Lytechinus pictus: one gene and its partners. The protein of the gene in region 2 interacts with the protein of the main gene of each other region in a pairwise test. Links are inferred from orthologs where the notes say so. Each region holds a gene or a part of one and is shown on either strand. Other genes may lie near its edges.

What was found.
Region 1: the proteins of DNA repair protein RAD51 homolog A (region 2) and SUMO-conjugating enzyme UBC9-B-like interact in a two-hybrid assay, tested with the Caenorhabditis elegans proteins (2 studies listed by BioGRID). The link is inferred for Lytechinus pictus from reciprocal best matches to the Caenorhabditis elegans genes rad-51 and ubc-9.
Region 3: the proteins of DNA repair protein RAD51 homolog A (region 2) and DNA repair and recombination protein RAD54-like interact in a two-hybrid assay, tested with the Caenorhabditis elegans proteins (3 studies listed by BioGRID). The link is inferred for Lytechinus pictus from reciprocal best matches to the Caenorhabditis elegans genes rad-51 and rad-54.L.

Annotation. Positions count from the first base shown.
Region 1 is NC_087254.1:20,337,289-20,344,900, reverse strand, and holds the start of SUMO-conjugating enzyme UBC9-B-like, read right to left. Parts: upstream 3,289-7,612; 5' UTR 2,947-3,288; intron 1-2,946. UniProt on the Caenorhabditis elegans protein: Accepts the ubiquitin-like protein smo-1 from the aos-1-uba-2 E1 complex and catalyzes its covalent attachment to other proteins with the help of an E3 ligase such as gei-17.
Region 2 is NC_087251.1:40,097,144-40,104,796, reverse strand, and holds the start of DNA repair protein RAD51 homolog A, read right to left. Parts: upstream 3,258-7,653; 5' UTR 3,252-3,257; coding exon 3,099-3,251; intron 1-3,098.
Region 3 is NC_087255.1:21,260,600-21,268,424, forward strand, and holds the start of DNA repair and recombination protein RAD54-like, read right to left. Parts: upstream 3,448-7,825; 5' UTR 3,295-3,447; coding exon 3,292-3,294; intron 1-3,291.

The DNA of each region.
Region 1 (7,612 bases), on a different chromosome or scaffold from region 2:
GCGGAATGAGTTTTGGCTAACATTATTCGCGTTATGAAGCGACTAAGATCAGACAAGATGTATTCAGCAGTAGAGGCGCACGGCCAATATGGGAGACTCTCTCCAATAGGGGAGACAATCTCCCACATTGGAGACTTGCTTTGCAAAAGGACAAAAGAAACAACACCAACAAAAGTATGATTTTTTCCACCCAAAATTTTGTCTCACTGAGGTCAGAAGCCCATTTGTTTTGTATGTGATTGACAACAAAATTCCTTATCAAAATAAAAGAAGACGGTGAATTTTTAAAGTAGACGGTGAAAAGGGGTAATTTTTCATGAGGAATCTGCTTATCACATTTTTATTTGCCGCCAAGGTAATCCTTTGGCAGCAAATGTAAACAAAGGAAATTGGACTCCAAAACTGGAGACTGTCTCTGAAATTGGATACCCAAATTCTTTACAAAAGTCTCTGATATGGAAGATAATCTCCCACATTGGAGACAGTCTCCAATATTGGCCGTGCGCCTCTACTGTTCAGCCAGCGTGTCATAAATGACTGGAATTCGCTGCCCCAAGAGGTTGTCACACTCACACTCACAGCTCAGACGGTGAACAGTTTTAAAATAAGGCTAGACAAGGTGTGGGCTGACCAGCGGTACTGCTCACCCTATGATGAATAAACCATACTAATGTCGAGGACGGTGTAGATTTCCAAGCTAGACTGCTAGCCTATGAAGATACCTAACTAACAAGAAGGATGAAGGACTTGAATTGGAACTTCAGTGGAAGCACGACTGCTGTGCTGGGCCTGGGATCATCAGCATTCTTCCAGAATCTCGACTCGGGTAAAGGTAAAGGCTAAAGCACTAAAAAGTCTAAAGGACAACTCAAAAAACCATTGCGTTGGTTGTGCAAGGTTAGTATTAGTATAGTAAAAAAAAAAACCCCGCAATACGTGTAGCCAGGCGGCTTCTAGAGAGTAAAAATCATTTACTAACGTTAGGTCACTCTCATACGAAGCCAGGGCTTCCGTCATATACTTTTGCGTGTACCACCAAAAACCCTGAAACTTTCGCCCCCGAGATTTCTACTTTCTTTCTAAAAGATCTAGCCCTAAATCATGTACATGGGATACAACTTCATTTCCGACATTTCTACGCTATGGATTTTATTTTTAGACAAGAATTCATCCAAAAAAAATGAGAAAAATATCATGAATAGACGGAAGAGACTTGCCCGATGTTTACGCCGCCATCTTCATGATCTTGTTTTCTATTGTTCTTCCCCAACGTTACGCGACGCAAGCGTCCGTATCATGGGTGAAGAACAATAAATAGAAAACAAGATGGCGGCGTAAACATCGGGCAAGTCTCTTCCGTCTATTCATGATATTTTTCTCATTTTTTTTTGATGAATTCTTGTCTAAAAATAAAATCCATAGCGTAGAAATGAAGTTGTATCCCATGTATGGTGAGACTACCACATATCGACCACCTCTTTTGAAACCGACCACCTTGCGCGCGATAAAATTATTGCGTATTACAAACGATACGCGCGGGAGAGTAGGCGCAGTGTCCATAGAAACGGTAAGAATCGATTTTACGAGAAAAAAAGAAGCAACAAAAAGTAAAAATTTAGTAGAATTAATCAAAATTGTATTGACCAGACCCAATTCCCGCTGAAAAACCAAGAAATCCGATAGGAAACGGCTTTAGAACAAATATCCGTCGTCAATCGTCGAATCATGTGCCGGCGCGGAGCTCGCAGCGGAAGTAGTGAGACGATCATTTAGCATGTTGACATCATAGAACTGATTTGGAAGAGTAAAAATATTTACAAGAATCGGCCGTAAACTTAGTGTATCGCGGGTGGTCGGTTTCAAAAGACGGGTGCAAATGAGCAAATGTAAAATCGTCGTATTCATTGTTCGTCGATATATACGCGGATTGAATCGGAGTCGCCGAGCGAAACATGGGAATCTGATCTTCTCAATTTTCTGCACAAATGGGACTAAAACTGGGTAAAATTGATGAATATTTTTGCAGATACGATGCTGAGAAGATTAGGTGGTCGATAAGGGGTAGTTCCAACCATACATGATTTAGGGCTAGATCTTTTAGAAAGAAAGTAGAAATCTCGGGGGCGAAAGTTTCAGGTTTTCTGGTGGTACACGCAAAAGTATATGACGGAAGCCCTGGCTTCGTATGAGAGTGACCTTACGTTAGTAAATGATTTTTACTCTCTAACTTGTTAGAAGCCGCCTGGCTAAATACGTGTGAGTGGATAATGAAACTTGAATGAAAAGGAAAAAAGATGCAGTGCCACTGCACTGGCTGGCATAGACAGCTGGCAGCCGTCGGTTTCGAGGAGTTTTTTTAACTTTTTTATTTTTTTAATTTCTCCTCATACACAGACGGCTCGCTAGCGTGCAGCCACCACCATTGATTAGGGGACTTGCAATGCAAAATCCCCCCGTCGGGGCTCTTCAATTTTTGTCTTTAATGAATAAAAATTTTGAAAATTAACGCGACCAAAATGCAAATTAATATTCCCTCTTGGCATTAATTGCCAAAAAACGGAGAAAAATCAAGTTAAAAGGAACAAAAACAGTGTCAGTGACTTACCTCGGCTGTCGCGCAAATTCACTTCCCCGTTTTATCCGATCTTGACTTAAGTACATAAACATATTGCCATTGAGTCCCCTGTACAGATCGCGCTAAAACTTCGGTCTCTGTATTTGGTGAGTGAAGCCAACGGAGTTCAGCTGAACAACCAACATAACAAAATTAACAGAGACCTGGAGACCGAAGCTTGTTTTAGTTTTGGTCTATGACTATGGCTGGCACTGCTGCATGCTGTGCAGTCTGCTCTGCATGCACTGCACTGTGGTGTGTGCCAGTGGCAGTGCAGTGCATTTTGTCAGAATGTCATTCAAATGTGTGTTGATAGACTACGATTTACTCACCCTAACGTTAAAAGGTTGCAATTCACGACAAAGTCGTGGGCATGTAAACTGTTATTCGGCGAGATGAAAAGAAATCCGGGTATCTCGACGACTCGGCAAAAAGATGAGATCTCATTCATTCACAAAAGCAACGGAGATCCTGGCCTCAAGCGCAAATTCAGTTTACGATCGCGAAATACGCACAGCAGCATGCAAGCGCAAAAGCACAGTAAATAGACGTGCAATATACGAGTAGGGCCTAGACCGCGCAGACATGCAATAGTCGTACAAAAATGAAAAATAAAAAATGAACGTGAAGTCGTGAAATGAGCGAAGGTCACGTGATTTGACTAAACCAAGATTGATTAACGAAAGAGGGCGCAATAGCTGATTTCGCATTTTAATCCAGGAACACTATTTCGCATGTACTAGTATTTTGACATTTTGGGAAGAGGGAGGCGAAGGAGAAGAAGCGAGGACGAAATGAAATATGTTACTACATTGTATTTATACGAAGTTATAACTACATGCATATAATGTTCGCATACATTTTGTTTTAAAAAATGTTTGTTTACATTAATATATCTAATTAATCTAATAAAAGGAAGAATGGAAAGAAAAAAAAATCGAAAAAAATAGTAACTAAAGAAGGAGAGGGGGAAATAATGGAGAAAATTAAAAAGCACTGGTGTACACCGGGGTGTACAGATGGCTCTCCCCCCCCCCCTCCCTAAACAAAAAAAAACAATTACGACTAAGAAAAGAAAAAGGTAAGAAAAAGAGAGATGGGTGAAATATATTATTTTCTGAAAGTTATGTCAAAATCTATCAAATTTGATTTTTTTTTTAAGAAAAATGTCAAATTCTTTGCTTGCGCTCGCGTCGCTCACAGCCTTTCATAAATTTTACACAATATGCCACATCTTGCCAAGGTAGAGAGCAAAGATAAGAAAGGATCAGAGGAATAAACAAAAGAGGGCAGAAAAGAAAGGGGCAGGGGACAAACGGAAAATTACCTCAGGCGCCACTTGATCGGAGTGAGGTCTGCAGAAAAGAAGGAGAAGAAGAAGACGAACAAGAACAAGAAGAGGAAGGAGGAGACGAGGGTTAGGAGAATAAAAAGTAGAAATTCTCCTTAGAGATTTTGTGTGTTGTATATGAAAATATTACACAACCTTCAAGGGTGGCAGGGAAGGTTGTGCAGTAATTGATAAATTGAACAAAAATATATTAACTAATAATGTGCACAAACTATCATATTTGGACTGCTGTAGTTGCATTTTTCCCCCTAGTAACAAAATACATTTCTGAGAGGTTTGATAAGTCCATGAAGCTGTTTGACACTACTCAACAAGTTTTCCCGGAGCACCATACTTAAGACTCTGATAAAGAGTAATAATGAGTAAGACATTCTGTACTATTTACATTATTTTTAATGAGTCCTCTTGCTTGCACTGATACAATAATGGCACAAAAATAATAAAATCATCAAAATCGAAATGACAATAAAAATCTTTTAATAGAACATATTTTTGACACTGATGAAAACCATCCCATTATTCTAAAAAATCTCCAACAAATGGATATAATGTTATGGCAGTACAATCAATTGCCATTAACTTCCTTTATATATCATTTGTCAATTGTAATCATAATTATTTTTTTAATGCATGAAAATAATAATCACAATAATCAACATTTTATAATACTCAATGAATTGAACAAACCTGTTTTATCCAACATTGATCATAGCAACATTGCTTCTCAGCTAATCAAAATCAATCGGACAAAAAATGTTGACGAAATGCTCCCAAGGATTATTATTCTAAGTGCTGTATCATTACCCTGTTCATCAAGCTCTGACTTAATTGCTTTCACATATTCATGGCTATACACAGAAATTATTTTCAATACTATTTTTTTTTTTGGAGGGGGGGGGGTTAGGACGTGTAAAATTTTTTGAGGAAAAAAAAAATCGAAAACGAGGAAGAGAAGCGACCAAGCTTTTATTGGGGCACGTTTGCATTTTGTGAAGTGAAATTGAAGGATTTTGTACATAGTTTTTTTTTTTAAATAATCAGTAAAAAATGTAAGTTTTCAAAATTTCCGGGGGGGGGGGGTACTACCCACCCCCCCCCCTCCTCCTTTGCATACAGCCATGCATATATTGAAGCTGTGAGCCTACTTCCTAGGGGAAGATTCAAACAAGAGAGAACTTAAATTACTAAGAACACTACACACTTTCCTTATCCTACTAAGTCACCATTCAACACCTGGGTGGAGAGAAGCAAATTGTCAAATGACATCTTGCCAAATAATGATCATGCCAAGGTGGGATTTGAACAAATCCTGAAAAAAAAATTACTTTGGTAATAGATCATTCATTGTACTGCTCATACGCATACTGTATAGATATATTTCAATTACTGTGTGATTATCAATCATGAAAACATGTAATACTTCCCATTGGCCTGTAATATTACTAAGTAAATATACATGTATAATCAGAATAATCAGTAACTCATTATAATTTTCATTCTACAAAAATGACAATAAATAAAATAAATAAACCCTTCAGTGTACCTTCATGTAACAAAGTGAAAATAGATATTTATCAATTCTGAATCTACGAGAAAAAGAAAGAGTGAGCAGGTGGGGTGTAAAAATGGTGTGTGACAGAGTGAGAGAGGGGGAGAGAGAGAAAAGGGAGCTTTGGATGGATGAGAATAGAGTAGCAATGGTTGAAATCACAAAGTTCATATTTCTTCGACCTTTTCAAATTATAAATTCAAAATAAATCAAAGCCAAACTTATTCAAGCTTTTTTAAATGATACTTTCACTGTTCTGTACCCTTTTGAATAAAAGAAAATTAATTGCATTTTATAATAAATGCAATTATGAATATAATCAACCAGTGGCGGACCGTGACCCGGAGGAGACAATGATTGGAGGGGCACTGTATTGTTTGTGAACAATGTTGTGCCCCTCCAATGCTTTGTCTCCTCCGGGTCACAGGTGCCACTGTAATCAACCATATTTTGATAATAAACCACTCTCTCATAATAAATACAAATTTTACAACCAACTTCACAGCCACAAGCTTGACTCCACCGTTTGCAAATAATAAATCAAACGAAAAAGGGACCAGCCCTCGTGTTCATCTTCATTAGTTTAAAAAAACATCTTATCATATATCAGCATCACATTCATCCTATCACAATGACCATACATGAAACATAATTACACCTGTGCAGGTACCACATAAAACCCATTAAAAAAATAATAATCAAGTAGTATTTTTTGTAGTCAAGTAGCAACCAGTTTGGGGCTGATAGTGCTTTGAAACTATGTCATGTACAGTATTCATCATTTTAGTTTTTTCATAAAATCATTATGAACACAAGTCAAAATACATTTATTGACAACGTTGGATTACCTAAATTAATATTTTTGATCTTTTTCTTTAAGGTTTAAACAATACCAAGTGAATTACATAATACCCACACAAAGGCATGCTGTTCTCCAGAACATAAATTTAAAGGACAAGTCCACCCCAACAAAAAGTTGATGAGAATAAAAAGAGAAAAATCCAACAAGCATAACATTGAAAATTTCATCAAAATCGGACGTAAAATAAGAAAGTTATGACATTTTAAAGTTTCACTTAATTTCACAAAACAGTTATATGCACATCCTGGTCGGTATGCAAATCAGGAGACTGATGACGTCATCCACTCACTATTTCTTTTGTATTTTATTATATGAAATATGAAATATTCGAATTTTCTCCTCATTGTCAAGTGAAACAACAATTAATTCCTCCCTGAACATGTGGAATTAACTTTATTTAATACTATATGTTTCAGTCAAGTTGGTCCTTATTGTCAAATCTGTAAAAAATAAAATACTGTATAATTCAAACAATAAGAAACAAAAGAAATAGTGAGTGAAGGACATCATCGACTCTCTCATTTACATGTCACCGAGTTGTGCATATCACTGTTTTGTGAAAAATAAGCGAAAATTTAAAATGACATAACTTTCTTATTTAACATCCGATTTTGATGAAATTTTCAGCGTTATGCTAGTTTGATTTTTCTCTTTTTATTCCAGTCAACATTTTTCTGGGGTGGACTTGACCTTTAAGAATACTTACACGTACATGTAATACTCTTAATGTGCAAATATAATTCCTCAAGTATTCACATACTGTATTCATACTCATGAGAGTGAATGAGTTTTATAGGTACAGTGCATCCAATTATGCTCAGTAATCAAGTATAGTACTGAACCATTATTTCACAAGCATTCATAGAAAACATGTGTATTGTGTATATGAAAGAGTTGTAGATATAAAAAATAACAATAATAAAGCAGGTATTTGGATTACCCCTAATTGTTTGGAATAGGATAATTCTATGTCCCACTTGTTCATGCTTTTAAGAAAATAACCTATAGATATCGTCTCAATCCAAAAACCAATATCTGAAGTAACAAATATGAAATCCTGATCATAAGACAGGCATCTCTGCAATGAATAAATGATTCAATATTAGTTACAGACAATCATTGACTTGACACAGTGACAGACACACCTAATAAGTGACAGTTGACATAATGTTGAGCTGTGGTTTTGCTCCACTTGATTTTCTTGCTAGAGCCATGCATCTGTGACCAGACAGTCTT
Region 2 (7,653 bases):
CACCCCCAGGTCAATAATGAATGAGTCAGCGAATATATTTCAACTATGATGTTGCGTGACGTCAAACCTCAATATATTTTTTGCTATACCAATATTTCTGACATCATTATTTCAGAAAACTGGTTATTTAGCTAAACTCTCGGGCGCACCGGCCAGCGAGCTCTCTCTCCCGAGTCCAGACTCCAGGGCAAATCCCGCGATGCGTCGGTGCAGGCACTAATCTGCGTTCCGCTGAGCGCGGTGGCTCGGAGAAAAGTAGGTAATTTGACGCAAGTAACCGGACTTTGCAAGCTCAGCGCATAGATTTTGGTTATAAATTATCAAAAGTAGGATATAAAACAAATATATCAGGCGTTTCATTCGAAAGCATAGAAATATATAGGCCTAGTGAGTAGTGGGAATTATTAATACTCGGTTGGACTGGCGCGCGCTGGCAAAACTATAGTACAGTTACGTATTGTATTACCGGACACTATTATGATTCCGGACGCGCATAGTACTGCGTACGAAAACAATTTTGTACCGTAAGACTTCCGCAATTCAATTTCACAGAGCAATTCATAGAACAAGATTGCTAAAACAAGGCGAAAAAATCCAATTTTTACCTTATTTATCTCTAAAATGACAGAAAATGATTTAAATATCATATAACGTAGTTTTGCATTAACAATTGATATATTTTCTGATGGAAAAATGGGCCTGATTTTGCCGAATTTCAGTCCCGTCCTCTCCTTCGATCGAATGATGAAGTGTGGTGTATTGTGGTTAATCGCCGACGGCTAGACTCGAGGTATACCGTGCCCGAGGTTTACCGTGACTATAGCCGTCGACCATCGATCGACAGCGCATCAAACCTGATGAGCGTTACGATACGAACGAGCATAGTATTGGAAAGTGCCATGGGCATGGAACATGCAGCTGAGAAGTCAAAATAAAATTTATCAAACACAAATTTATTACCAACATCTGCTCAGATTTGATGTGAAAAAAAACAAAACATAAGCTTAGAATTTATGCATGATATGATATATGAAGAAAAATTCACACAAATTCTTTCTTACATCATTATAATGAAGAATATCTTTACCCGTCCGGCGCGCGTCCGGAATCATGATGTAATTTGTCACGCGCGAAAATAACTTTTTCGTGGAGGGGTATGCGACAATTGCGATGCAAAGAAAACGGTTGGTAAATATGAAATAATTTTATCATATTCATAATTTTCATAATATTTGGAATAGCAAGTGCAAATATTTCTTGATTGTATTTCCTCTAGTTTTTCATTTTTAAAGCACTGAAATAAAGGTGTCCGGTAATAGGATACACTGCCATACTAATTACTATTTCCTTCGGGGCTTCGCCCCTCGGGAAAAATAGTATTTAGTAGTTGTCAGACCAACCTCGGATAAATAATTCCACTATACTTTCTCAAAGCCTGATATACCGGTATTTGTTTAATATCTTCACCCGTCCGACGCGCGTCTGGAATCATAATTTGTCGCGCACGAAAATAATTGTTTTTCGTGGAGAGCCGAGGGGTACCGCTATTAGAAAATTTAGGGTGTCTGGAGAAAAAAATTATTTTTCTTATTTCAAGAAAATATCACATTTTCTTTGTGAATTTGAAGAGAAATGACCTTCAGACTGACAGAAATGTAACATTTTTGAAAAAAATCCAATTATTGGCTGCAAAAAAGAAGAATGAAATTAGGTAAATTTTCAGCATTTCTCTGCCATAGACTGTGTAGTTAAGAAATGGACACACACAAATCCAAATTTTTAGCTTCCGAGAGCTGTTAATTATAAATTTATTATTAATGCCAAAAACCTGTCCATAATTAGAGTCCAATAAATGAATAGGATTTTTTATGCTCTATCTGATGGTATGATTTTTATAAAGATTTGGAAACCAGATCACAATGAAAAATTGCGACAAAGTGAAAAAAATTGTGCAAAACAGAAATTTCATTTTCCCATAGAAAACGCATGGAGAAATGGCAATCTCAACACACACAAAAATAAGGGGTTGCAATTTACCTCTAAGTCTAAGTCTAGTACCGTATGGGTACTAGTATTCAACCCGGCATAATTCAAAGATTTTGACATATTCCCCAAAATATTTAGAAATAGGGAATTTATCTTAATTTCATACCTTTGTTATGTCCAGGGTAATCTGTTGTCGGTATTTTCTTTATCAATCTGTCGACTGTATGCGCGGAGGATCGAATTATGCGGCGATGGCCTTTTGCACTGAATGGTACTAGTATTCAACCTAGTGAGGATTGATAGCAAATCTCAAAAGGGTTTAGATTGCTAAATTAGATCTAGATCTATGTAAGTCTCTGGCTTTGATTAATTCCCTGTTTGGTCTCATCTCAAATGGTCTAGTCCATAGTCGGATGGGACAAGGGCAGATTGAGAGACAGGGCCATCTTTCATCGCTAGGTTGAATACTAGTGCCGACGGGTTGAATACTAGTACTAAAATCCGTCGCCGTATAATTCGATCGCCCGCGCACACAGTCAACTGGTTGAAGAAAAAAATAACGGAAAAAGAATAACCAGCATTTGCTCTTGGAAATAAGACGGGTCTGAAATTCAGGTAAATTCTATATTTCTATATATTTGAGGAAACTCTCCAAACGGGTTGAATACTAGTACCCTTACGGTAAATGATCCTTTATTCCTTATTTAAAATGATCATATATATAAACTTGTCCTTACTGTCAAAAGAAGCCCCTGAATTTTCTCTTTCCATACATGCCAAACACAAGTTAATAATCAATTCAGATCACATTTTTCTAGTAGCCTGAACTTCCCCGAAAAAATGTGCCATATTTTCCCCTAAATCAGCCTGTTTTATGCTGACACTTTTCAGTGTGGCTTCAGACACCCTACCGATATACCGTAGGCTGCTTGTCCCTTGTGCGGCCAGTCAGTGCGATGCCGATGGCAAGAAAATGGTTGGTGAACACGTCAGACAGACACAAGAAGTGAATAAGATTAAAAGTAATGAAGAAGTGAAGAAAGCTGAGAGTAATGAAAGATCATAACACAAATGAAAACAATAACAAGGTTTAATAAATCATTAAATATCACCTCTGATTTCTCTTTGAAAGTGTGAAAATACGTCGGTCTTGCGAGGTTAATTATGCCGTGAATTACAGGGCAGTTACCAAAATTTGTAGAACGCGCGCTGGCTGGATCTGCATATCTGGAGCTAGCTGGAGCTTGCAAATATTTTCGGGGCATAGGCGCCTGCCCATAGGGTCTATCAGATTTTTATAAGTCTTTCTAAGAAAAAAAAAAATAGAAATAATACTATCTGAAATAAAACTGTGAAAAATATTCATTATTTTTTTCAAAAATTACTTTCATGGATATGGCTAAACCAAGTTAAAAATAATAATAATAATCATCATCTACAAGATAACCCCTATAATTAAAATGGAATCGTCTAAATGAAATAACTTCTCTTCTTGTTGTTATGTTGGGAGTGGCGATTAGTCATCCGTATTTATATAATATGGTATCTTGTAAGGTTACCATCTGAAATGAAAACTTAGGCCCTAAATTGGAACTACAACAAAGCAAGGGAGTTTCATGAAGGACTTGTATCCGACAAGTCCTGTTTTACAGGGGCGTAACAGGGGTTGGTGGCCGGGGAGGGGGGGGGGGGGGGGGGGCAAGAGCCAAAAATTTCCCGGTCATATCATGGAACAGGCAATGGCGTCATGAGGCAAAAATTTTGAGGGGGTGGTATGGTGTATCGTACAAAGAAATATAAATGCGAGCGAGCAAAAATTTTGATAATTTTATTGCAAAAATCAAATTTTGTGATAGATTTTGACATAATATCATATTTCATCCTTCTCTCTTTCCTTTTAAGTCCCGAGAGAGCGAAGCGAGCGAGATAAAAAAAAAAAACCTTTTCATATGAGAATCTAACATGAAAGATTTGGACGTGATATATTAAAAAAAGTATATAATACAGTTTTCCTTTGGCTTGCATGCTTTTCTTTCTTTCCTCTTTTTTTTTTGGGGGGGTGGTTAGTTGTAGAACTTTGGGGGCCATGGTCCAATTTATCCATAAAACAGTGCGCCCCAGAACCTCTTGATATAAAAGCCATTTTAAACCTTACAGATGGCCACTAATTTTAATCAAATTGCGTTTATATTCATATAGCTTTCACACAAGGGCACACAACACATAAATCCAGTGCGGTTATGTACCGTAATAATCCAAATATTTTGAGGGGGCACACATAGCAAATGGCCTTTTGAAATGAAATTGTAATTGTGATAGATTTTTACATCATAACAAATATCATGTCATATACATATTTTTTTTCATTCATCTCATTTCGCTGCCTCCTTTATTTTCTTTTATATTCCCTTGGCTGTGGTACCCCCCCCCCCCCGGGTACGCCAGTGCTTCAACATAAAGCTTAATGCAGGAAGGGTCCATATAGGGGCCCGTTATAGAGCCCTTTAAAGGCAGTGGCGTAACAGGCGGGGGGGCAGGGGGGGCAAGCTGCCCCCCCTGGCGGAGCTCACCGGGAAAATTAAAAAAAAAGGGAAAAAGAAAAAAAAGGGGGGGGGAAGAAAGGGAAAGGGAAAGGAAAGAAAAAAGGGGAAAGGGGAAGGGGAAAAGAAAACTAAGAAAATACATAAAAAAAGGGAAAACGGAAAGATAACGGGAAAAGGAAGGAAAAAAGAACAAGTGAGAAAGAAAAATTCGCCCCGATATACAAATACATTAGCATGATTAGTAAGACAGGGAAATAAATTGAAGATGACAAAAAGGCAAACAAAAGCGGGAAATAAAGGCAGAATGGAATTAGCCAAAATCTAAATTGGAAAATAAAGAATAGGGACAAGATAACGTACACTACCGGGCTGCCGAGGATTGAGATAACGAGCGGGAAGAAAAATGGATGGTATATAGCATAATGTCGTATGAAAGTCTATCATAAACTTGCTAAATCTCCAATCTCCCGTGCAGTGGGGGCTCTTCATCTGTAACCTTTAATGGGTTCTATAACGGGCCCCTATATGGACCCTTCCTGCATTAAGCTTTACATTGAATGACTGGCGTACCGGGGGTGGTTCCTCAGCCAAGGGGAAATAAAAGAAAATAAAGGAGGCAGCGAAATGAGATGAATGAAAAAAAAAATATATGACATGATATTTGCTATAATGATGTAAAAATCTATCACATAATTAGAATTTCATTTTAACAGGCCATTTTTTTTTCTGGCTCGCTTCGCTCGCTGGCGACTTTTTACAAATTTTCCCACATTTGCTTTGGTGTGCCCTTCACAATATTTGGATGATTACGATACACAACTGCATTGAATTTATGTGTTGTGTTACAGCTATATAAATATACACGCAATTTGATTAAAATAAGTGGCCATCTGTAACGGGTTTAAAATGGATTTGATATCAAGAGGTTCCGGGGCTCTGCCCTGGACCCCACCCATAAAGCACTGTTATATGGATGAGTTTGGACCAAGGCCCCCAAAAGTTCTACAACCAAACAAAAAATAAGGAAAGAAAGGAAAGTGTATTATATTTTTCTGAATATCACGTTAAAATCTATCTTTATGTTAGATTCTCATGAAAAGGTGATTTTTTTTATCTCGCTCGCTTCGCTCGCTCGGGACCTATATTAAGCTACTTCTTGCCAGAAGCGCGCCATACTCGAGCATATAGAGCTTCGCCCTGATGCTCACAATCATAACAAAAATCCTGTTCACCGTGGCGTACAAAAAAAGAGAGAAAAAAGGAAAGAGAGGAGGGTGAATATGATATTATCTTTTTAACATTATGTCAAAATCTATCACAAAATTTGATTTTTACATGGGCTCTTGGATAGAGCCCCCGGTAGCTTTGGAGATCTAGCAAGTAATAACAGACTTTCATACGACATTATCCATCTTTCTTCCCGCTCGTTATCTTCAATCCTCGGCAGCCCGGCAGTGTTAATGTCTTGTTCCTTTTCTTTATTTTCCAATTTATATTTTGACTCATTCCATTCTACCTTCATTTTCAGCTGTTGTTTGCCTTTTTGTCATCTTTAATTTATTTCCGTCTTGCTAATCATGCTATTGTATTTATTTGTGTATCGAGGAGCAGTGGCGTAACTACGGGGGGGGGCATGGGGGGCACGTGCCCCCCCCCCCCAATCGGCTGGCCAAAAAAAAAACGGGGGAAAAGAGAAAAAGAGGGAGAAAGGGAGAGAAACATACTGGGGAAAGAATAAATTATTGCTAATTATAATGTTATATCATATTATAATTATGTTATGTTATATTACATTAAAAAATCATAAATTTATGAAACATAGGCCTAATTTGCGCAGGGCCTAGGCTATGTCTTCATTGTTCCTGGTCCTCGCATTGTCTGTTTAACAAGATATATAATCCTGTTGTACTAAAACCTCCCGTTTTCAAGTCAATATACACAAAATATATTTCCTCGCACTTCAAATTATTATTGTTTTATGTATTGACATATGCTTCTTTTTCATGACTACTTAAAGGACAAGTCCACCCCAACAAAAAGTAGATTTGAAAAAAAGGAGAAAAATCCAACAAGCAAAACACTGAAAATTTCATCAAAATCGGATGCAAAATAAGAAAGTTATGGCATTTTAAAGTTTCGCTTAATTTCACAAAACAGTTATATGCACATCCTGGTCGGTATGCAAATTGGCAGACTGATGACGTCACCCACTCACTATTTCTTTTGTATTTTATTATATTGAATATGAAATATTCTAAATTTCTCCTCCTTTTCAAGTGAAACAAAGTTTTATTTCTCCCTGAACATGTAGAATTGTCATTATTTTAACAGTTTATGGTTAAGTTAAGTTGGTCCTTTTTGTCAAATTTGTAAATATTGAAATATTGTATTATTCAAACAATAAAAAACAAAAGAAATAGTGAGTGATGGACATCATCGACTCTCTCATTTGCATATCGCTGAGTTGTGCATTTAACTGTTTTGTGAAAAATAAGCGAAACTTAAAAATGTCATAACTTTCTTGTTTTACATCTGATTTCGATGAAATTTTCAGCGTTATGTTTGTTTGATTTTTCTCTATCGATTCAAATCAACAATTTTCTGGGGTGGACTTGACCTTTAATTAAAGTGATTGCCCCATTTTAAGGTCTTAATATAAACCATTTCCTGTCCGTGCTTACGTTTGCATTCGTGGATTGGTGAGATATGTATGTTCTTCATGAATTCCTAAAATCAGACCTTAAAATGTCCCTTTTTCTGATCTGAATATTAAAAAATTTCATCTTGCGCTTCGCGCTCGCATCATTTGGTTAGTAAAATAAGCATGGTTTTCGTGAATTCCTACAAGCAGGCCTTAGAATGCCCCTCTTCAGGTCTAAATTTCCTAAATTTTCAGCTCGCGCTTCGCGCTCTTAATATTTGACTAGTGATCGAGATGCATATGATGATCATGATTATAATGACTACAAAAAGTGCTTCATGTGTTTAGATGTATATTATTCAAACAAAGTCAGCAAGCGCTTAGCACTCGCATTAGATGACTATGGTGAGATATGTATACTCTTATTGGATTCCCAAAATATAGTCCTTAAACTGTCCTTGTTTGGGGTCAACATATACAAAA
Region 3 (7,825 bases), on a different chromosome or scaffold from region 2:
GATGTCTATCATCATAAAGGGGGTAAGAGAGTAGCGCAGTGAGCTCCGTCGGTAATACGACCTTTCAAAGTTCACGGCGGCATCCGCTATCACCACGAGATTGAAAATAAAATGTATATCATCATAAACGATGTAAGAGAGTAACGCAATAAGCTCCGTCAATAGTACAGTCTTTAAAAGTTTGTGGCGGGGTCCGCTATCACCACGAGGTTGAAGAGAAGATTTATATCATTATAAAGGGGGTAAGAGAGTAGCGCAGTGAGCTCCGTCGGTAATACGACCTTTCAAAGTTCATGGCGGCATCCGCTATCACCACTAGGTTGAAAATAAAATGTATATCATCATAAACGATGTAAGAGAGTAACGCAATAAGCTCCGTCAGTAGCACGATCTTTCAAAGTTCACGGCGGCATCCGCTATCACCACGAGGTTGAAAATAAAATGTATATCATCATAAACGATGTAAGAGAGTAACGCAATAAGCTCCGTCAATAGTACAGTCTTTAAAAGTTTATGGCGGGGTCCGCTATCACCACGAGGTTGAAGAGAAGATTTATATCATTATAAACGGGGTTAGAGAGTAGCGCAGTGAGCTCCGTCGGTAATACGACCTTTCAAAGTTCACGGCGGCTTCCGCTATCACCACGAGGTTGAATATAAAATGAATATCATCATAAACGATGTAAGAGAGCAACGCAATAAGCTCCGTCAATAGTACAGTCTTTAAAAGTTTATGGCGGGGTCCGCTATCACCACGAGGTTGAAGAGAAGATTTATATCATTATAAACGGGGTTAGAGAGTAGCGCAGTGAGCTCCGTCGGTAGTACGACCTTTCAAAGTTCACGGCGGCTTCCGCTATCACCACGAGGTTGAATATAAAATGAATATCATCATAAACGATGTAAGAGAGCAACGCAATAAGCTCCGTCAGTAGCACGATCTTTAAAAGTTCACGGCGGGGTCCGCTATCACCACGAGGTTGAAAATAAAATGTATATCATCATAAACGATGTAAGAGAGTAACGCAATAAGCTCCGTCAATAGTACAGTCTTTAAAAATTTATGGCGGGGTCCGCTATCACCACGAGGTTGAAGAGAAGATTTATATCATTATAAACGGGGTTAGAGAGTAGCGCAGTGAGCTCCGTCGGTAATACGACCTTTCAAAGTTCACGGCGGCATCCGCTATCACCACGAGGTTGAAAATAAAATGTATATCATCATAAACGATGTAAGAGAGTAACGCAGTGAGCTCCGTCGGTAATACGACCTTTCAAAGTTCACGGCGGCATCCGCTATCACCATGAGTTGGAGGAGAAGATATCTATCCTCTTAAACATCGCCATAGATAATACCGCGTCTTTCTCCCTGAATAATGCGACCTCTAAATAGCTAGCACCTCAAAAACAATCTTGAAATATGTTCTGAGCGATCACGCACTGTAACCAGATCTACGCCAATTTTTTATTTTCGATTTTTTCCTTCAAGGGGCATGATCGAAGATCGGCAAGTGATTGCCGATTGTGGTGAAATCGAATGGAATCGGTTGCCGATTGCAAAATCGGTTACAAGCTTATACTCCATGGTGAAGAAGTATAACATCATGGGGCCGATTGCACGAAAGGGTCTTTCCAAGGACCGTCTTTCGTGTCGCCCATCTTTATAATGCGCTACAGTACAACTACAGTACAAGTGGTTGGGGGTCCTAAAGCTACGCGGGTCCTAAAGCTACGCACCACTCATCGCGCATGCAATTCCAATGGCAAAATAAATGCGCACTCTAGCTCTGTGTGTGAAGCTGTGACGAACGATCCCTATTCAATTTTTTTACAGAGGCTGCAATAAACCCTTGAATGCAGAGAAAACCAGCAAATGTTTGGAATTTCGGAGTTATATTCACTTTGATTTCATATTTTCCTATAATAATACGGACATATTTTAGAAATTGAGGCACAGGAAATACTATTTCTTTGCATGATAAATTGAGTGCGTAGCTTTAGGACCCCTTCTACATCGGGCGGCGAAATTAAGAGGTGTTCGGAAAACACGGCGGGATTTTCGTATTCGTGAGTTTTGTGATATTTTCTTCTTGGTTAAGGATATTTAGAATATTTATTACAAATTAGTGAAAAATAATTGTTCAAATATTAAAATTGGCATAGTTTTTATCGTTTGGAAACAAAGTGCGTAGCTTTAGGTCCCCCCATCATACAAGCGGGGTGTTTCTGAAATTTATGATAATCAAATACAATTCGTAAGCTTGCTTTTAAATCAAATTTATACAACTTTGTGAGATATCACATCATTTTATAAACAAATAGGCCTAGTTTGTTTATTTCAATGGACGAATAAAATATGTTTGCAGATAATTTATTTGAAATGCGTTTCATATGGCGCATCATAAAAAATGGGCGACACGAAAGACGGTCCTTGCAAAGACCCTTTCGTGCAATCGGGCCCCTTGAGTCCTCAAGACCACTCATTCAATGAACAAGGTTATGATATAACCTTGTTCTCAGTTATATCTCCATGTGTGGTAAAATAAGGATGGCAATGTTTGGCTTATTTTCTCTTTTTCTTTGGGACAAATACTTGATTTTTTTACACTGACAGTTTCCATTACCCCTATTTGTCATACAACTTGGCCCTTAAGTATATTTGATTCTTTAAATTATTTTTTTCTTAATTAAAAATAGAGATAAAAAATGAAAATTTTCTTGCCATATTATTTTCCACCAATAGAGGGCGTACACACAAATATGCCCAAAATTCAAGTTTTTAAGCGCTCTAGTGAATACAAAATTATTCTCAAGTTACTAATGAAAAATAAATTGCAACTAGGCCTAGGCCTATATGGAAATTAGTAATTTTGGTCACAAAAGTGATATTTTAATTATTTTTCAAAGTGTGTGCTCTGTACAGCATTGGCATGCCATAATCCAACCTGTAGATTCCCCACAGGCAGGGTGGTTGCAGTGAACAAGTGCTCAAGACTAGGTTCTACCAAAGCCTTGTAAAGGCAAAGACCCTTCTAACTCTAGACTAGTCTAACTAAGTAACAGGCCTGGCCACTGCACTTCTCCCTGGATCCGCGGCTCTGTGCAGCTAGCACCCAGCGGGGTGCGCCCGGCTGCTCGGCGCCTGACCCTTGCCTAATCTAATTCAGGTACCGTACCGTACGGTAATTGCCTTGCTGCCTGGCTTGCTGGTCCCGCTGACACCGTCTCTAAATAACTTTACAACTCACGACTTTTTAATACGGTACATTTAATATAATATGGAGAACTTACCATCTTCTTGTCACTTCTCTAATTCTTTAGAACAGCTGAAAACACGATTCTCATCATTCATCATTTAACGTCACTAATTCCAGTTTTTAGTTTAATAAACTTTATTAAAGCGATTCGCAGCCCGCAGGTTTGCCAGTCAAAATTCGAACGGAGCGCGCGCAGCAGCCTATGGAAAGCTCAGTGTTTCAACAGATCCAAAACAAATTTCCCGAAACTTATTCCAAAATTTCCCGAAATTCATAGACATTTCCTAGAATTTTCAAGTTTTATTTCTAACTAAAATCGGGCAATAATACAGCGAGCCTAAATTTGGTCCAAGTGACCAAAATCAAGGAATTCAACATTTTTTTTCACTCTCTTTTAAAATAGGAACAAAATTACGAATTGCGAGCGCGGGGCGCGAGACCACAATTTTGAGCTACGTATCGAGGTAAACAAATTTATAACATGAATATTAAAGTTGAAAAGTTTAATTGTAATTTTCTGGTTACCCGGAATTACCTGGATTTTTTTCATTACCCGAAAATTACCTGAAAATGATCCGGATTACCCGGAAATCGGGTAATTTCCTTCAAAGTGAAAACAGTGGGAAACTCGGCTAAACGATATGAACTCGATTTTTTTAAATACCGTTTTTTGTTTACTGGTAAAATTGAGTATTGATTCATAAAAGATACACCTCTATGATTGGTTTATATATCAGTGGCGGATCAAGCTTTTTGCAAAAGGGGGTTTAAACAGTCGGTTTGACCCAATGAAAGTGGCATGAAGCCTAAATTAATAAGGGGACCAGAGAAGATAGCATCTATGGGAGACTTTCTCCAAAGATTAAGCAAACAAAGCAAGCGCGCATAAAATTGACAAAGTTAATAAAAAGTATAATATTGTGATAGATTCTGACATGACATCCAGAAGAAAATATTGTATTCCACCCTTTTCTTTTTTTTTTTTTTTATATTTTCTCCCATCTACATAGGGGCGACCTCCGACCGCCTCCCTATGGTATTAAATTGAAAAATGAGGGAAGAAGAACAAAATATATTTTTTAAGAAAGAAAGGAAAGAAGGGAGGATATTGATCAATCAAAAAGAGATGTATAGCTCGTGTACTAACTCTTACAAAAATAAAATAAAAGAAATGAATGAAAAAAAAAATCAATTAAATATATGAAATTTTTGTGTTTTGACTTTGATCCACTTAATATTTATCTGGAATCCAAAATAATTTGGCCAAAACATAAAAAGGCTGCTTATTTCGTTCTTAATGAAACAGAAACAGAAATAGAAATGACAATTATCATTGATAATATGATAACTACCTTTCATAATGTTTTCATCAATTAAATCACAATTTGAGATGTAGAAGAGATAAGGGTTCATAAATCCTCTCATTTCGTGAACATGATCTGAAACAAACGAACATCAATTTGAAACTCAACATGACTCTGAGTGGATATTTTTCTCACCTTAAACTATTAAAATCCGAAAAATCTTTATTTCTTTTATACAGTATGTTTATATTTCTGTTGTATACTTGCATATACGCTCTATACATATTTCTTGGTCTTCATACACAATATCATATTATTATACACATTACTCAGCTTTTAAATCCTACGATCCGTAGGGGTACTGCTGGGGTATGCGAGCTGACTTGTCATCAAAATATGATGTAAGATAAGAAAGTCAGCCATAATTATGACGTTATAAAGATTCGGTTAATTTGACATAGTCATGCATATCATTGTCCAGGTCAGGGGCAGCGGAGTAAAGTTGAGGACGAATTAAGATGCGTATATTTTTTTAAGTATTATCTTACAAAGGGCACATTTCATTTTGAAAAATATATACTTTTTCCCTATGGAATTTTTTTGGATTATCACCCTGCCCCCCCCTCTCCCGATTCCACTACCCCTAGAGAAAAGAAAGGAAATGACACTATAATTATAACTAACAGACTTAAAATTTCGAACAAACGAGAAAAGAGAAGGGGCATTGATGAGAAATAAATATCATGGGCATATCAAAAAGTGACACACGGAAGAAAAATTTTACTATGAAAAAAAAAGAGCTATAAAGGGGGAAATAAATACATTTTGAAAGGAATTATTCAATTTTAAGCTGCACTTGCAGAAGGGAACAGAACGCTAAATACAGAAATTGACCTGATCGGGCATGGAAAGAACTTATAGATACGGGAATTGCATGCAGGGGCGACGGAACCGAGGGGGTGGCAGGGGCACTTGCTTGGTGATTACTATAAAAAAAAATCTGTATGACATTGACGCAAAACATGATAATCATGTACATAGCGACAGGCTTGCGGCGACCAAGACTTTGATCTCTAAACAACCAATTCAAGAATTATGTCATTCGTAATTCTCGAACTCGTCCTCAATTACATATTGTTTGATACGAATCCGACCTTTGGTATACCTAAGATTAACGGGGTCATCCTAACCCATAGAACTGATCACAGTTTAATTCATAACTAATTAATTAAACAACTCTTGGGAGCTACACTGATGTTGTAGACCAAAACGTAAAGTTAAACAAACGGACCAAGAAATTCTAAAGTAGTTATGATCAGTTGCACGTTGAGATAACGAGCTCAGAACATGCAAGTTTGATTAACACTCCTAAATTTTGCTCTCTAGAAAGGAGGAATTTGATCTGAAAATGACCGTTTCATCAAATTTGGTATTTATACTATGCTTATTTTTGCCTGTCCAGCAGTTCTGGGCCTGGGAAGCTAGAGATTTGGGATGGTTTCTTATCCGGAACCCAGCGTTTACGGCGATAGAGCCCCGGCCAGGAGGAGTCGGTGGATATGATCTCAGTATCAGCACCTTTTCAGCTATCCCAAATACTCTAGATTCGAACTATATTGTGCGTGATATAGCAAAACAGTTGGTGGAAGAAGGCGATGTGAGACGATTGAATACAGATGTGTTGGACGGAGGGTTGTTTTGGCCAAATGAGGTTGGACTAGTACCAGGTGAGTGATATCATGTATATATATGATAACAACAACAATAATAATGATCCCAGCACTCTCACCCCCTCAAACATACACCCACTTTCCCACACACACTCAAACACACATCCACACTTGTCATTTCAGGTTAAATTTATTTATATTTGAATAAATCACAAAATTTACAAATGATTATAATAAAAACAGAAATAAAATAAAAATTGAGAAAAATATTTATATTGAATATACATATATGTTTATGTATGTGGACTTCTCTATGCAGGAAATAGTCAACACTCGGTGAGTCAACTTTGAAAACACAGTGAAAACAATGTGGGCACGGTGTGATGCGTGTATCATTATGACACATGTGAAACGGTTCACACTGTTTGATTTCATTCCCTCACTGATTGATAACGAAAAACACACTTGTTTTTTGTGTTCACACAATCATGCTATTCGACACACATTCGAAACTTGCAACTGTGAAATTCATTTATCACAGTGTGTTCACACATCGCCCACGCAGTGAAGATTATATAAAACCACACTGTGTAGAAGGTATCCACTGCGGCTGCATTTGTACTGCACAATAATTTCACATAGTTCCACACAGTGACCACACTGTGAAGAAAATTGCCACTCTGTTGCATTTTTTCAACACAATGTGATCACAGTGTGAAGACATATTTTGCATATATTATTTACACATGAATGAAAAATACTTCCATATTATGAGAAAAAAATAAATATCCGCTGTTGATTTTGATTGAAAATGAAATCAAGAAATACATTTTCCCACAAAAAATGAAATAGAAAGTGGCATCCGATTGTCTTTGTTGATAATGATAAAAATAATAATTTACGCACCATAATCATAAATAACGATCAACATGGGATAAAATAATAAGCCAAGGCGCGCGGCCCCTGCCAGAAGGAAACACAGGAAGTCAATATATTTTTCTAAAAGAAAAAAGTACACAAAGTTTCTAAGAGTGCATATTGCATTTCCATTTATTTGAATGTAGGATAAAGAGCACTATCGATTAAATGCATTGCTCGCGGGGAAACATAGATGCCGTAGCCGGCGATCGAACCCCGAACTTTCAAGTGTGCCAGTGTGTCAGTACTATGTTCCACACTGTGTCACACTCACGTGGCCACCCCTCTGCCATAAATGTGGAATACGTTTTCACACTGTGGTAAGCCTACATAGTGTGTCATCATTGTGAATAATTACAAATATATCTTAACCATAGAGTGAAACAAGTGTGATGAAACTGTTTTTACCCCGTGATTAAGTCACCTACTGTATGTTAAGTCACAGTGTTGACACACTGAATACTTATGCACAGAGTGAAAACTTTTTCCTGTTAATCGCATGGGAATAACTATGTGCAACATAGTGTGTAAGACAGCATTGCCAGACACACTGTTTCACAGTCTTGTGACTGCGTGATATTTCTAGCAGGGATACATCAGCTTCGATAAAAATATTGTCTCCTCGTTTAAATTAAAAATTCAATAACTAATTAAAGATAAACAGATGAAATTATTT